Linked DNA regions of Arabidopsis thaliana. The protein of the gene in region 3 interacts with the protein of the main gene of each other region in a pairwise test. Each region holds a gene or a part of one and is shown on either strand. Other genes may lie near its edges. The genes, in order: OFP7, AT1G77250 and ASHH3.

Region 1 (3,788 bases), about 10 Mb from region 3:
AATACGAGACGGTATACCAAGAGTGAAATCCATTATATATTTTTTATTTCACTGGAAGGGATTAGATTGTAGGATGGATTTGGATCAATAGTAATACGAGAAAAATCAAACATTGTATTTATACACTAAAAATATATATAGATATAAGAGTTGTACATTTAAAAAATACAAAACATTAAATCATATTTTATTAAACAAATTAAACTTTTATTTTTTTTTTAAAAATAGTCCTGCGGTATATCGCGGGTTAAAAAAAAATCGAATTTTACATAATACAGTTTATCATGCTTTTATTAGATACACTATACATTTTAACCGTAATCCTAACTAAAATTCTAAAAAAAATACATATTATAACCGTTAACTCAAATACATAATCTATTATTCAACTATACGAATTTTACTTAATATATAAATTTTATTTAGAAAAAATAAATCTGCGGTATACCGCGGGTCAAAATCTAGTTTTGTATACATAACTTTAACTTTAGTAACCAAAAAAGTGAAATTTTTGAAAAGCAATTATTGCGTGTGAATATGAACATCTTTTTTTGGGTTTGGTGTTGACGATTATGAATATATGCAATCTATGCATTAGAATCTAAATCGCACAAATACAATATTTTAATTAGCCTACGCATTTAATGATTACAGTTTTAATAATTGCACCGCCGCATAATTTACATTTAACATTTACATCGTCACTAAAAGTGAAAAAAATTTAGTAGAATTTAGTTAGACATTATCATAAACAGAGGATTTTAATTTTTAACATTATTATTTTAACACTCATCGTAGTCTGAGAGTCGAACACTCGAGAAGGAGGACGATCTCCGACCACCACCACTACCACCGGAGAACAAAGCAACCCAAATCTCTGAAAACGCTCTTACAATCGCGCGGTGGTGGCGTTTCGCGTTTAGCGATAGGAAGCAACTAAGAAGCTGTTCAAGCTCAGCTACTTCAAACATCTTCTTCTCTACTATCATCTCCATCATTGATCCTTTAAAATCTTCGTATGGATCCTCCGATTTCTTCACCACCGCCACTCCTTCCACCATAACCGCCGCCGCCATCGTACACGGCATTAATCTCTGCACAAACGAAGACAGTCTCGCCGGAGACGGTGGCGGTGATGATGATTCACTTTCTTCCTCGATCACCGCCTTCTTGAGAAGTTGTCTCGGACGTCTTGTGACACGCGGTAGCTCGGAAGAGGAATATTCCGGCGAGAGGTTTGTAGAAGATGGTAAGAGACTCTCTCTATCAGTCTCTTCTTCGGCGGAGGAAATGCTCCCTCGCCGCCGAGAGTTTGATTTCTCCTTCTTCTTTAAACGCCGGCGATTATCTTTCTCCGACCCACCGTTGTATATTTTCCGACGAGGCGTTTCGTATTCTTCTTCAGTGACTTGAGCAATCACGTGCCACTTCCCTTCACTTTCCCACTGAAACGTCGGCGTTTGCGGCGGAGATAACACCGGTGAGTTTCTCAGATCAACATCCAACGGCGTGGACGAGCGTCCGCAGCCAAACACAGTTAAAACGTGTAGTCTGAAAGAAGAACGGCGACGTTGCGGCACGGTGGTGACGTCGGCGGAGGAGTTAACCAGTGGAGAAGTACGTCGGAGACTTGAAGAAACAGGATTAAAAGGAAGAGAAGAAGGATCTTTTAAACGGCAAGATTTGAATGAGAGGATTCTTGAAATCTTTAATTTGAAACGTTTCGTCATTTTTTTTTCTTTTCTTGTTTTTTGTGTTTTGTTGGAGAAGTGAAGAAAGTATGGAGCATTTACCAAATGAGAACTGTTTGTGTCTCTTCTGCTTCTATATATATGCAAACACTTTTATATTGGAGTATATAAAATTGTATAATATTTCTCTGCTTTAGTATGCTTTATACCGACATTACATTTACTAATTATCTTTTTTTTGTTGACAGCTGCAATATAAGTTATTTATACGAATCCCTACTTTTTTTTGCCCATACTAAAACCTTACCTTAGTTAAATGATCAAATGAACCGTGAATGTCATTAGACGGGTCAGAATGTGTGTGATATGTATATACTTTGCGTTTTCAAAAGCAACCCAAATTAGTTAAGTGGACGTCTAAGGCTTGATTTGCAGAGATGTTGGCAATAGCAATGGTGAAGGAAAAGTTGCACATCATCGTTCTTCTGAAGTGGTGGTAGTCGAGAAAACGTATTTATATGTAGGATTTCATATATATACGTTTTCTCGATTACTTCTTCAGTAGAATGATGATACTGTATCGATCATAAACAAGATACCGAATTGTGATATAACCATTTTGACTTGAGAGTTTATTAAATATCGATCTTAGTTAATAGGAATAAGATAGTTTGTACCAAAAAAAAACTAAAGACATAACCATGTGTGGGCATATACAAGTCAAACACCTATGAAATTGAAAGGTTGAGAAATTAAACGGCTAAATTAAAATACAAAACAACAACATTCTGTCTAAATTGTTTTATATTTTTTACCACAAAATACATTTCTTTTTTAGAACTTTTTTTTTTGTCTTTATTCCTAAATACTTTCTTGCTTTCTATATATTTAGATCAATTTTTTTTGTTAATACATATTTTCAAAAATCGAAAAGATATTTTGGAAAAAAATTCACAATTTTGATTACATATCGTAGTATCGCACAGAATCATGTTTAGCCTAGTCTTGTAATAAATTACATGTAATTAAAATAATTTTTGTAACGTCATCACATGTATGATGTCAATGTTGATACCTATTTTTTTATACTGTATATACTTATGACTTAAATTGACAAGCTAATCCTAAGAAAATTATACAAACCCTAACCCCTAGGCATCAAAGATTGATGTAACTCGAGTTTGACCGATACAAAAGTTCTACTTAGCTCGAATTAGCTTGCATTTGGATCTAGCAACCAACAAGCATAATAAGACTAGTCCAAAAAGAACTCACAGTTCTTGTTAGCTTGCATTTGAAGCTAGCAACCAACAAGCAAAAGAGTAGTCCAAAATCTTGTAAGACATTTAGCAAAGTCCAGAATAGTCAACTTACCTTAAAAGAAAGAATATGCGATAATCCATTGTCTTATCAGGTTTTTGAAAGTAGTAACTATTTTCCTACCATCCCAATCACATGTATTGAGAAAATGTATACTCTTAGTCTTACTATAATATTTTAACTTAACTACTATCAAACAAATTTTTAAAGTTACCGCGCGAAAAACCTAATAATTTTAAAAAGGCATTTTACGTGAAGAACATATCACTTCGACAAACACTTGTCAGCTGAATTAACTAACATTTGTTAATATTGACTCGTAATTATACACTTCGTCAAAAGTTTACCTAAATTATTTGAGTTTTTTTTGTGTTGGGTATTAATTAGCACTGCTCTTTTATGAGATTGAAAGATACGGTTTCAAAACTTTCGGGATTTAAAAAAGCCAATTTTGCAATAATAAATTATATATTATATTTAAAAGAAGGTGAAAAGTTGTATGATAAGACAAAAAAGATCCATTTTTGAAGAATGAAGAAGCGAAGTAGGGAACGACCAAAGGATCCAAGGAGACAATATAATCTGATTCATGCCCCAAAGTCATCTTTCTCCATCTCTTTCCCATATATTTATATTTTTCAACTTTATTTATTTTCTTCCTTTTTGGAAAATTACAATATGATTACATTTCTACTTGTGTCGTTTAATCATTAAAAATATATAATGTAGATGCTCCTTTACTAGTTAAAGAGTCTAGAGTTAAAATGTCAATTCAAT
Region 2 (5,772 bases), on a different chromosome or scaffold from region 3:
GCATTGGTGAAATGAATTATATATTTTTCCCGATGTGCTTAGGTAGAACAGAAATCATTAACTTGAAATATTTTATTTTGAACTTAGGCTGCTTGGGTAATACATTTCTCTTTTTTTGGGCTCAACAACTAATTAGCTTAGGCTTCTTGGCTAATACTTTTTTCTTTTTTTGGGCTCAACGGTCATTTTTTTCAATTATCTAAGTATTGAACCATCTATTGAAGTGGATAATACCGATTATAGAAAAAGATTGATCGATTGTTTGCCCCCAAAACAAGAAAGATTGAGAGATTTATTTTGATTGATTTGAACATCTAATAGTAATAAGTGAAATCTTATGTTATTTAACTACTGTAAATATTTTAGTTAAAATCTTATCTTGTTCGATGAATTAATCACATGTTATATATACCCTTACGGTCTATGGTTGGTCGGCCTCGTAACAATAATACTCATTAAGCTTTTTTTTGTTGTTGTTTGAGTTTTTACTCGTAAGATATTGTAGAATAGATTAAATTTATAAGAAAATTATCCGATGAAGCATCATCTCTTTGGTCAAGAATCAGTTCATTATAATGTTAAACAAAGTGCAAAATCAGCAGATCAAAAGGGCACTGTTGATGAAAAGAATTTACTCTTAGAAGAAGGTTTACCCTTCAGAATCCTTTGTCTTGCTTTCAAAAGTTAGCAACCAAACGAAAACAAATTTGTGGAGAAGAATCAAATATTAAAGTGTTGAAAGTTAGGTAGATGAGACAAGAAGCTGTATTTTGCTTGTTTGCTTATCAATCCAATCCTTCATTTGATGGATTGGAATGTCATCTGTTCTTCATCTTTCAGTGTGTCAGCTGCGTTTAGAAGCATGTCCATTCCTCCTACGCTTTGATCCAATTCTCCATTGTCTTTACTTTGCGGTTTGCCTTGGAGATTCTTGGGTTTTATTCCTTTCTGTTTCTGCACCGTCTCCATCTTCTTCTCAAAAGCCTTTCGTGCTTTTTGGACTTTAAGAATTGCAGCTTTACATGCTGTGCAAAACCATTCTCCATTTGGAACCGATTCACATGGAGGTCGCATGCAATAGATGTGATATGCATCATCACACCCATCACACAAGACGATTTTATCATCATCCTTGTCAGTTAGGCAATTTCTGCATAAGCATGACGAGCAATACCAACGGACACCGTGTAGTTTTATTTGCCTTGAAGTCAAGCACCTGATGTGGTAATACTTGTGTGGGCAAAAAGGGTGATCACATGTTATATACTTTCCGCCACTATCCACCTTTGTTCCACAGGTCCTACAGAGTTCAGAATCTCTACTCATCTCTACGTGGTGCACCTCATGATTCATGTTACAGCTTGAATTCTCTTCAGATTCGTTCGAATCCTCTTTGCATTCTGTACTCGTATCAACAGATCTGTTATCTGTCTTCATCATCCCTTGGGTTTTCATTTTTTCACACACTACACAATTCTCATGAGGTGATCCGATTCCCTTAGATGTACAGTCTAGACAATACCAACTGTGTGTTGGCATCCCTTTCCCACCAGGTTGTGCACACGAGACATGGTACATATCTTCACAATGATCACATGCTAAACAGTCTCTTGCCTCTGCCTTCTCTCCACATAGCTTGCAAATGTCAGAAACACTGTCATTTCTGATGTTCTCTGCATTAGGACAAGGCTTCGATTCCCCAGTGTAGAACTGCTTCAACTTCCAGATTTTGAAATAAAGAAGATATTAGAGGATTGATGGATAAAGTTATAATAAGATAGCACCTTGAAGAAGATCATTTATGCCTGACCCTCACCTGTTCCTTATAGGAGGTTCTTGAAAGCTCTAAGAGACTATTAGCAAGAACAGCCATATCATTACCAACATCCTGCATTTTTTGCCAGACCTGAAATCAGTAGTTAGGTTTAGTTCTATGTCTACCTTCAATCTAATGCATAATATGTACTGAAAACACAACCACATTCGTCAAGCTAAGAGTTTGTGTTCAGCTTCCGAACTACGGCATCAGACTATATTTTTCACAATGAAAAGAATAAGAAAGACATGATAATCTGTTTTCATGCATATTTATCTTAGACTAAGCATGATTTCCACTAATTACCTCTTGGAGATCCGTTGAAAAGAGCAGAGGTGAACCTTCATAAACACCCTCTTTCATCCTGGTGTCTATCAGAGTTCTGCTCGTAAAATCATCAATCTTGACCCCTTGAAGATTTTCGGAAAGTAACCTATTTAGGGATGCAAACTCCTTTGAAGCTAAAACATGGGACAGAACATGCTGGCAACCGGCTGTCACCGTCTCATGATTGGTGGATTCACTTGATGGTTTATTTGGACTGGGAGGCTTCGGGAGTTCACCAGTAAGATGGGTTCTTATGCTAAACCTTTCATAAGAGACAGACTCCTGTGAAGAAATTTAATGAAAAAATTAATCCAAAACAAGAAAGAGCTAACATGTTTTAGGAGCATATTCATGAAAGTAAATCATGAACACATGAGTTGATCACACAAATATAACCTGAGACGAAGTTCAGGAATGAATGCATGATTTAGCAAACTCTAGTCAGGTTTTCAATAAGCACAGTATTAACAGCACATATGGATTTTACTACTATTTGCAAAGCGTTTCCTGAAACATAGCTATCACACACTAGACACCAATGTAGCCTGAACAAAATGAAGGGAACAGATATATAATCGCAAAATTGTTACTTGAATAGCCATACGAATATAAGCAGAAATGACCCTTCTCTTTAGCTCCCTCAGCAACATGCTGAGTAATTGAGGCCCAATATTCACTATTGAAGCAACTACCCAACCATCACTAGATTTATAGAGATCCTAATATACATTACTTAGCCAAGGCTCTAAAATAAACCAATAAACTAAATTCACAAAACATATAACAACTGAGGTGAGCGAAAGTTGCAAAATGCTAGCAACTACATATACTCCAGCATTTTAAAACCAATCACAACAAGAGGTGGTACCATAATAGAAAAAGGCATGAAAAGTACCCGGCTTTCTGAGTGACTAACACCTTCCATGGAAAATCTATCATTTTCCGAACATTTATTAGCAGAATAAGATCTCCCAAGTTTTCTCCGCTTATATGTTTGTATCTTCTTACTATCTCTGGAACTAGCATTTGCAGAATTAGCCATAGCACCACATCCTGCACTCCAATTATTCAATGCTTCACTTTCCACCAAACCATTTGGCTGATTATGCTCTGTACCTTTACCATTACTTGTCGCCTCCTCCATGAACATCTTAAACAAATGTTTTGATCCTCACACAGTGGAGCTAGGGTTTCACCAATCTTCCATCCTACAATAGACAAAACAGAAACTTGAGTCCTTATATAACCCACAAACGAAATCTCATATGGAAATGTTGACCATTGGTAACAAACTATCAAAATGTCTTCGATTTTATCACCAAATAAACCATCTAGAAATTAGAAAAAACAATATCATTCCAACAAAAAGCGATGAAATTGAAGACTTCTCTACCATAATTTCATCAGAAAACAACGAATTTCTAGATACGGAAACTTCAATGGAGCTTTATCTAGACACTACAAAAGACGGAACAAAGCTAAATCCAAATTCAAACCTCTAGCGAAAAAACCGACAAGAGGGAAAAAGAGAGTAAAACCGTACCAGTGTGAAGAAATCTGCGTAAAGAACCGACGAAGAGCAAACCCTAGAAATTTGAGGAAGAGGATTGATTTACCGGCTCTCGGAGATTAAGACTCGCCGGTGGTTCTGTAAATCCCGGCCTTTCTTATCTTTGAATCATTTTTAAACTTCCGCGTCCCTTAACCGGTATATTTTTCAACTTGGATCTGAAACCGGTCAAAACCGGTAATCAGTGACGCGAAACTGACACGTGGAAGTAGTAATAAAAACCGCGCCGGAGACTCACGGTGACGGAGTCCACCACAGTAACAGATTCGTGATGTGCACGTGCTTTTAGTTATTCCCTGATCAAAGAGTCACAACCGTCGGATCTCAACTTTAGCAATCCAACGGTTATAACTGAAAGACACCCACCATTCTCTGTTTCTTTATTTCACACTTCTCTCTGTTTTTTTTTGTCTGAGAAAATGAATCTTTTTGTTACTCATGTGTTAAAGTAGCTCAAGTGTATTAACACTCTTCATTCTTCAACAATCAAATCAACAAACAAATAAACAATAATACAATTATCAATTTATCACTAAGAAGAACTGTCGCTTTGAGCAGACTTATCATCACATTCGATTTCGTATCTTTTCTTTTTCTTTTCCTCATATCCGTTTATCGCAGATGAGAATCCTAACGCTTGCGTGGGGTCCTTCCCCGGTATCATGAACACCAGCAGTCCAACCGATGGCTTTAGCCACTTGCTGAAGTTGGTCCATCAAAGACAGTGAATCCCTTATGTAAACATGTCCTCCTGGTCTCAACATCCGGTCCATCTCCAGCATAATGTTTGTTATGTTGCACCTATGTTCCACAATTCATTACCCCAATCAAGTTCCTGACCTTTATTTTTGGATTCAGGATAAAAAGAAAAACGAAGTTTAAATCTTTTTACCTCTTTTTCTCAACAGAGAAGAGAAATGCAGCATGTATCAGATCATAGGTTCTTGGGTAGGTGTCAAATGGCTCACACCTAGAGGAAGTAAGTGAAAAAAGCTTTAAATGTGATCTTGTGTAAGTTAAAGTTATGTGGGATTAGAAGCAAAAGAGCAGAAGGTTATCAGTCTGTACCAGTCGTGCATAGCCCCTTGTAGTCCACGGTCATAAATAACTGGCAAGGTGTTGAATCCGCTAACGGGAACAATGTTCATAACCCAACAGTCAAGCCCCAGATCGTTTAATGCTGCTGCAAACCTACCAAAATCAAGAAATACTAGATCAAATAAACTTTGGTAAGGCAGAAACAAAAAAAGGGTGTGATTGATGGTTACCCTCCAAAACCAGCTCTCATGTCCAGAACATTCCTCAGTTTGAACTCCTTCCAGCGGAAAACCCGCACATAACTCTCTACTACTTCTAACCAAAATCTAGACTCTGCCTTCATAATTTCCTTTCGGGATATGTACGCATCCATTTGAATGCTTTGTAGCCTCTCTGGCGGATCATGAAGACGTGCAGGCCATGTGGAGACATTAGCCCCATAGCCATTATCAGGTAATCGGGTGATGCACGGTTTCATATCTACATACCTGGAACAGGAAACCATAACCACAAAGTTGAGATTTTTAGAAAGTTTTAATTGAAAAGCTGAGAATTTGGTGGTTCTATCATATAATGTCTATGCAAGAAGGCTCAAAACTATTAAAAAGAAACTAGATTTTCAGATGCATATATGTACCAAACATCATCAGGATCATCATCAGGTCTGCACAAAGGAGGTTTTGTTCCAGCTTCGCGACTGACATAGCAGCTGTTGTTTAGAGGCTTCCTCCACACAGCAATATATCCCTCTTTCTTGATAAGCTCCCAACAGATTCGATTCGTAAGGTCTAACATTTCTGAAAAAGATAATCAAAGCGCAGAAGCAACACCCATATTTTAGTTAAACTCCATAGCAGACAAATTATTTTGTTGAATAATATACAAACCTTTCCACTGCTCTTGCAAGTTATCCTCATGTTTGTAAACGGGTTGTGCAGCCCAAACAAAGTAGCCTCCTGCTCTAAGCATTCTATTAACTTCAAGAAGAAGTATCCCATCTGTGTAATTCATAGAAACAAAA
Region 3 (5,230 bases):
CTCCACTAGCCATAGAGACTCTTTTTACAAATGCTGTCCAACCATTACGAGTGGTGCAAACTTGCTTATGCCCAGAAGTTGAAGACTCCCTATACGGTTGAGAAACTGAGGAAGAAGACGTAAACACGTTTGACCATAAGGTAAACTTGGACTTATTATCACTAGGTCCAGAATCTGAAACTAAAGGGGATTTATCATGCGTATCACTCTTGCTTGATGAAGAACATTGTTGAGGAACAAATCTATCACATAAAGCCTTCATTACCTAGACATGAAGCACCAACTGCAACGTGTCCTTCTCATAGAAGCAACCTAAATCCTGAGAACCTTATCTGAAATAATAAGCACAAAAGACACTGAATTAACATCCAACATACTTTTAAGTAGTATCAGAAAGCCAAGATTGACTAAAAACTTCCACAATTAACTTCAAACACTACACAAGATTGGGTGTGTGTGACTTCAAGGTTCAGAAAAGTTTAATCAATTAACTCTCTGAGACCATAACTATAGTTTTGTGACCACTGAAGTTCAGCTTAACACCCCAAAAACAAGTAAGCATGTAACACAATAACGATTCTACAATTACAAACACTAAGCAGATTTTGATGAGAAAATAAACCCAATCCATAGCTTCTTGACCTCTTGAAACATCACAACATAGAATTTTCCGCATGATATTAGGAAGGTTTAGGGAGTCAACAGAGAAATATAAACCAAAATTTTAGAGATCAAAGCATTTGGATTCCACATGCATATTCTCTTAATTGAAGAATGTTTCTAGCAAATGACAAAATCAAGAAACAGACTTGAGCTTGACGAAATTTCAACTCACGGATCTACAGTAATCGAAAATGATCAATTAATCAACTTAAATTTTGACAACTCCTCTTCGTGTAGCAGAATTTCATCATCCAATTTAGCCCAGGAATTCTCACAACTCCGAATTTTTCTAGCAGAGAGAAAACAATAGGAAAAGAAACAGAAGGATCACCTGAGAGATCGATCAAATGGTTTCAGCAGACGACGGAGATGGAAAACGCAAGGGGGAGATCGATTTCGTGTCGTATCTTGCTCGCTTCAACGTCCCGTCGAAGATACCTCAGAGCAAAGACAAACGTGTGTTTCCTTTGGAGGTTTTGGGACAATCTCAATGGCGATTCTTCTTTTTACCTTCTTCAAATCTTTCGCTTTCAACTAATGACAATCTATATCGTTTAATTATTAATTAAACTTCACATAATCAGGGTTATGAATTATGATTACACTTGTTTACCATTTTTTTACGTGGAAAAAAATAAATACTCTCCGATTTACCTGTTTACTTCGGATAAAACGTTCGAATATTATATTAACAATGACATTGATAGTATTTTACTTTACTTTTCTCCAGGTTCCTAATTTTTTTGTTAACACATCCATCAACATGTTAACAGTACACAAAATTAAAATGTTGCTGCTGCTTGCTATTAATGTGATTAGTGATTACGGCTAAAAGGCTATGACATATAAACGACATAAAGCAACAATATTAGTTTGGGTTAATTAAGCTCAGCTAATTTGGGCTAGTTAAAAAAATTGGATCGGATAAAAAAGCCCATATTGACACTGGGCCAACATATCATATCGAGTCAAGTTACGGTTTTACCCTGAAGCCATTTATTTCTGAAGCGTAATTATCAAAGAGAAAAAAAGATTAAAAAAAAAGCAACTGCCGCTCTTTCTTCTTTCTTACTGTCTCAGATCCGCCATTGTTACTTCTTCAGTTCTTCTTCTTCAACAACAACAAGAAGTAATAATTAGGGTTGAGAAACTTCGAATTCCGAAACAACAGAGAGACGTACTAGTTTTAGCCATCTTCTTTTCTTAGTTTCATCGAACTTGGTGTTACCTCAATAGGTCGACGCTCAAATCTTGCTTATTCTCTGGTTTTTAGAGCTTCTTTTAGATTCTTTCGACATGCCAGCCAGCAAAAAGGTCTGTTCAAAAACAATCTCCGCTTCATGGAAATTTTAACTTTATTCTTGATATCTGAAATTTCCAGATATTTTTCTCAGATTTCGGACCGGAATCACTTAGGGCAAGTGTTCGACAAGCTATTGAATCAGATTGGAGAATCTGAAGAATTCGAGTTACCGGAGTGGTTGAATAAAGGAAAACCTACTCCTTATATCTTCATCAGGCGCAGTATCCTTTTTTGCAATTGCAGTTTTGGTTTTGTTTCATTTTGCAGATTTAGCTTTGATCAAGATTTGTTTTGGCCTTGACTTGTTAAAGATATATACTTGACGAAGAAAGTCAAAAGGAGGGTTGAAGATGATGGAATCTTCTGTTCTTGCTCCTCCTCGTCTCCTGGTTCTTCTTCAACTGTCTGTGGGAGTAATTGCCATTGTGGGTATGCCTCTGTTTTTATTTCACTTTTCTTGATCTATCTATTTCAGCATTTCATTGATATAAGACCATAATTATCTGCTTGTTTAAGTACATTGAACTGGAAAAAACCTTATCTTTTGTGTTAGGATGCTATTCTCAAGCTGTTCCTCAAGTTGCAAGTGTGGGAGTGAGTGTAACAATAAGCCGTTCCAACAACGACATGTCAAGAAGATGAAGTTAATTCAGGTAATGTGTGATTGGTTTTGGTTGGATAGAGTGGATTTTTGTTGTTGTCGGTTTGTTATTTTAGTTGTGTCTTGTAGACAGAAAAATGCGGATCAGGGATTGTGGCAGAAGAAGAAATCGAAGCTGGAGAGTTTATCATTGAATATGTTGGAGAAGGTGATGTGACTATTTGATATTTTGTCTCCCTACTGAATATACTGCGACCATGGTCTAATTTGTTTTCTTTTTTCGTACCTTTGCTCAATGTAGTTATTGATGATAAGACTTGTGAAGAGAGGCTTTGGAAGATGAAACACCGTGGCGAGACAAACTTTTATTTATGTGAGATAACCAGAGATATGGTTATTGATGCTACTCATAAGGGAAACAAATCAAGATATATTAATCATAGCTGCAACCCTAATACGCAGATGCAGAAATGGTTTGTTGTTAACTGTCAACCCTTAGTGCTTGTTTCCTAGTTTAGAATACTTGAGAGAGAAAAGTCATCATTTGGTTTACTTTTGCTTGCAATTAGGATAATTGACGGCGAGACCAGAATCGGCATTTTCGCCACCCGTGGTATCAAAAAGGGAGAGCATTTGACCTATGATTATCAGTAAGTTTATATCCTCCTTCTCCAGTTTACTTTGTAACATATCTGTTTTTATGTTGAGTTGTGACACTAAGAAATAGAGCAGGTTTGTTCAGTTTGGTGCAGATCAAGACTGCCATTGTGGGGCTGTAGGTTGCAGAAGGAAGCTTGGTGTAAAACCTAGCAAACCTAAGATAGCCTCGGATGAAGCTTTTAATCTAGTGGCACATGAATTGGCCCAGACACTGCCCAAGGTATTTTCAAATTTTATCTGAAAAGAAGAATCAAATATATATCTCGTCTTTGCCCTGGCATAGTTTCACAGTCACTGAAAAATTTGTGTGATGAGGTCTAAGTGACTCTTTTTCTTTCCCCACTTTTGGTTAGGTGCATCAAAATGGACTTGTAAATAGACACATAGATGCAGGTAAGTTTGGATTTTTTCTGCTCAATTTGCGAGAGTAGCTTATTGTGTTTTGGTTGTAAGAAAGTAATTTGGATTCCCATGTTTCTCCAGGAAAATCATGGAACAATCTTAGTCAAAGGGATACATGTTCGCGTAATTGCATTGGTGTGGTGATCAGGTTATCTCGCCCCACGAGTGATAGGTATTTATTGAGTTTTGAACTCGTGGATTAGTTTTATGACTCATTCTATGCTTTTCTCATCCAATGTTTTATCTTTTGAGATTTTCAGGTGTTTTGGCCTCGTTAGACATTTTGATGAGTATTCAAGAAAGCACTCGGTATTACAATTAGCCAATACTTGTTCCTCACCATCGAACTTGGCAAAATCATTCTCAATTAAGACCTCTCTGTTAACATCTTTAAACTTGGTCCAGGTGATGTTCGAGGATGGTGTTACCGAGTTTGTCGACATGTCGAGAGAAGACTGGGAGATTGTCTAATATTGTTTTCAGGTGATTTATACTCTTCACTCTCTTAATGAAACATTAAAACTCCCAGAAGCATAGAGTATTAAATTACCCTGGCTGCTATGTTTCTGCAGATTGCTTTGAAGTTGAGAAACCAAAATAACCTGTCTTGGTAAACTAAAGGTATCCCAAAAAACCCGGGTCTGACTGACTGGGATTGGTGCAGTGACATTGTTTGTTGCGTCTAACTTGTGACCTGTGTTTGTACAACCATTATAAGAGATATCATATATCTACTTGTGTAACCACATCTGTACTTTCTTCTCCTTCCTTCTTTTTTCATGGGGATCTCAAATGATGATGTCTTGCAAGAACCTTCGTGGTGTGTAATTGACTTTGTAAGAACCGGTAATCTCATATCCGGTTTAGCTTTTAAAAATTTGTATCCAAAGACCGGTTTGTTCTTGTTTGCATGTGCTGTTCTTATTCGTGCATCTGTGTGAGTGTGACTGTGTCGGTGTCGCCGACAAAAGCCGGTGTTTGCAAAATCTGACCAGTTTTGTTTTAGCGATTAACGTTTCAAATTCCTTCAAATGCAAAATGAGTTAAACAAGTGAAAAATTACTAAAACAACATAACAGTTTTAAATTGGAAAAAGTTTTGTAAAGTTTAAAGATACACTGTAAGTGAAAAACGGAAAATTTTAATTAGATTTTTTTTTTTTTTTTTTTTTTTTGGTAAAAGTAGATTATTTTTGTTAAACAAAAGTGATGGATCATTGGTTTTTTGGTAGTAGGTGGGTGATGTGGGTGTGTGGTTCTGGTTCACCAACTCAAAAAGCATAGACTGCAGGGGTTGGGGATTGATAACGACAAATCTAATTGTGGTTGGTAAATCTTTTACTAATCACATTCCTTTAAAATAATTATGTAACTCATCTTGTTTACTAATATCAACTCGACTATCTTAATATCAAATAACTCGGATTCTTCATTTTTTTCACTTTAGAATGGTTTGGTAAATCTCTTGAATAATAAACACTTTAATAAAAATGTTTTTTTTTGTCAAGCATAAAAATGTAACTCATGTTGTCTAACTACATGGATTTTCGCACAAAACAATGATTAAATGTAAATTATGTAATTATACTTTATTTAAAGTAT

Evidence for each region.
Region 1: the proteins of ASHH3 (region 3) and OFP7 interact in a two-hybrid assay, tested with the Arabidopsis thaliana proteins (one large-scale study listed by BioGRID).
Region 2: the proteins of ASHH3 (region 3) and AT1G77250 interact in a two-hybrid assay, tested with the Arabidopsis thaliana proteins (one large-scale study listed by BioGRID).

Annotation. Positions count from the first base shown.
Region 1 is NC_003071.7:8,025,044-8,028,831, reverse strand, and holds OFP7 (ovate family protein 7), read right to left. Parts: upstream 1,876-3,788; 5' UTR 1,731-1,875; coding exon 783-1,730; 3' UTR 559-782; downstream 1-558. UniProt on the Arabidopsis thaliana protein: Transcriptional repressor that regulates multiple aspects of plant growth and development through the regulation of BEL1-LIKE (BLH) and KNOX TALE (KNAT) homeodomain transcription factors.
Region 2 is NC_003070.9:29,019,646-29,025,417, forward strand, and holds AT1G77250 (RING/FYVE/PHD-type zinc finger family protein), read right to left. Parts: upstream 3,830-5,772; 5' UTR 3,687-3,829; intron 3,352-3,686; 5' UTR 3,294-3,351; coding exon 3,039-3,293; intron 2,426-3,038; coding exon 2,123-2,425; intron 1,907-2,122; coding exon 1,817-1,906; intron 1,720-1,816; coding exon 799-1,719; 3' UTR 531-798; downstream 1-530. Other genes in the region: AT1G77260 (S-adenosyl-L-methionine-dependent methyltransferases superfamily protein), read right to left, coding at 4,316-4,514, 4,606-4,683, 4,782-4,904, 4,982-5,239, 5,389-5,548, 5,639-5,749.
Region 3 is NC_003071.7:18,256,904-18,262,133, forward strand, and holds ASHH3 (histone-lysine N-methyltransferase ASHH3), read left to right. Parts: upstream 1-1,665; 5' UTR 1,666-1,959; coding exon 1,960-1,977; intron 1,978-2,057; coding exon 2,058-2,187; intron 2,188-2,277; coding exon 2,278-2,395; intron 2,396-2,519; coding exon 2,520-2,619; intron 2,620-2,696; coding exon 2,697-2,775; intron 2,776-2,868; coding exon 2,869-3,040; intron 3,041-3,136; coding exon 3,137-3,217; intron 3,218-3,299; coding exon 3,300-3,447; intron 3,448-3,580; coding exon 3,581-3,620; intron 3,621-3,710; coding exon 3,711-3,801; intron 3,802-3,889; coding exon 3,890-3,938; intron 3,939-4,034; coding exon 4,035-4,100; 3' UTR 4,101-4,112; intron 4,113-4,201; 3' UTR 4,202-4,639; downstream 4,640-5,230. Other genes in the region: AT2G44140 (Peptidase family C54 protein), read right to left, coding at 1-262. UniProt on the Arabidopsis thaliana protein: Histone methyltransferase.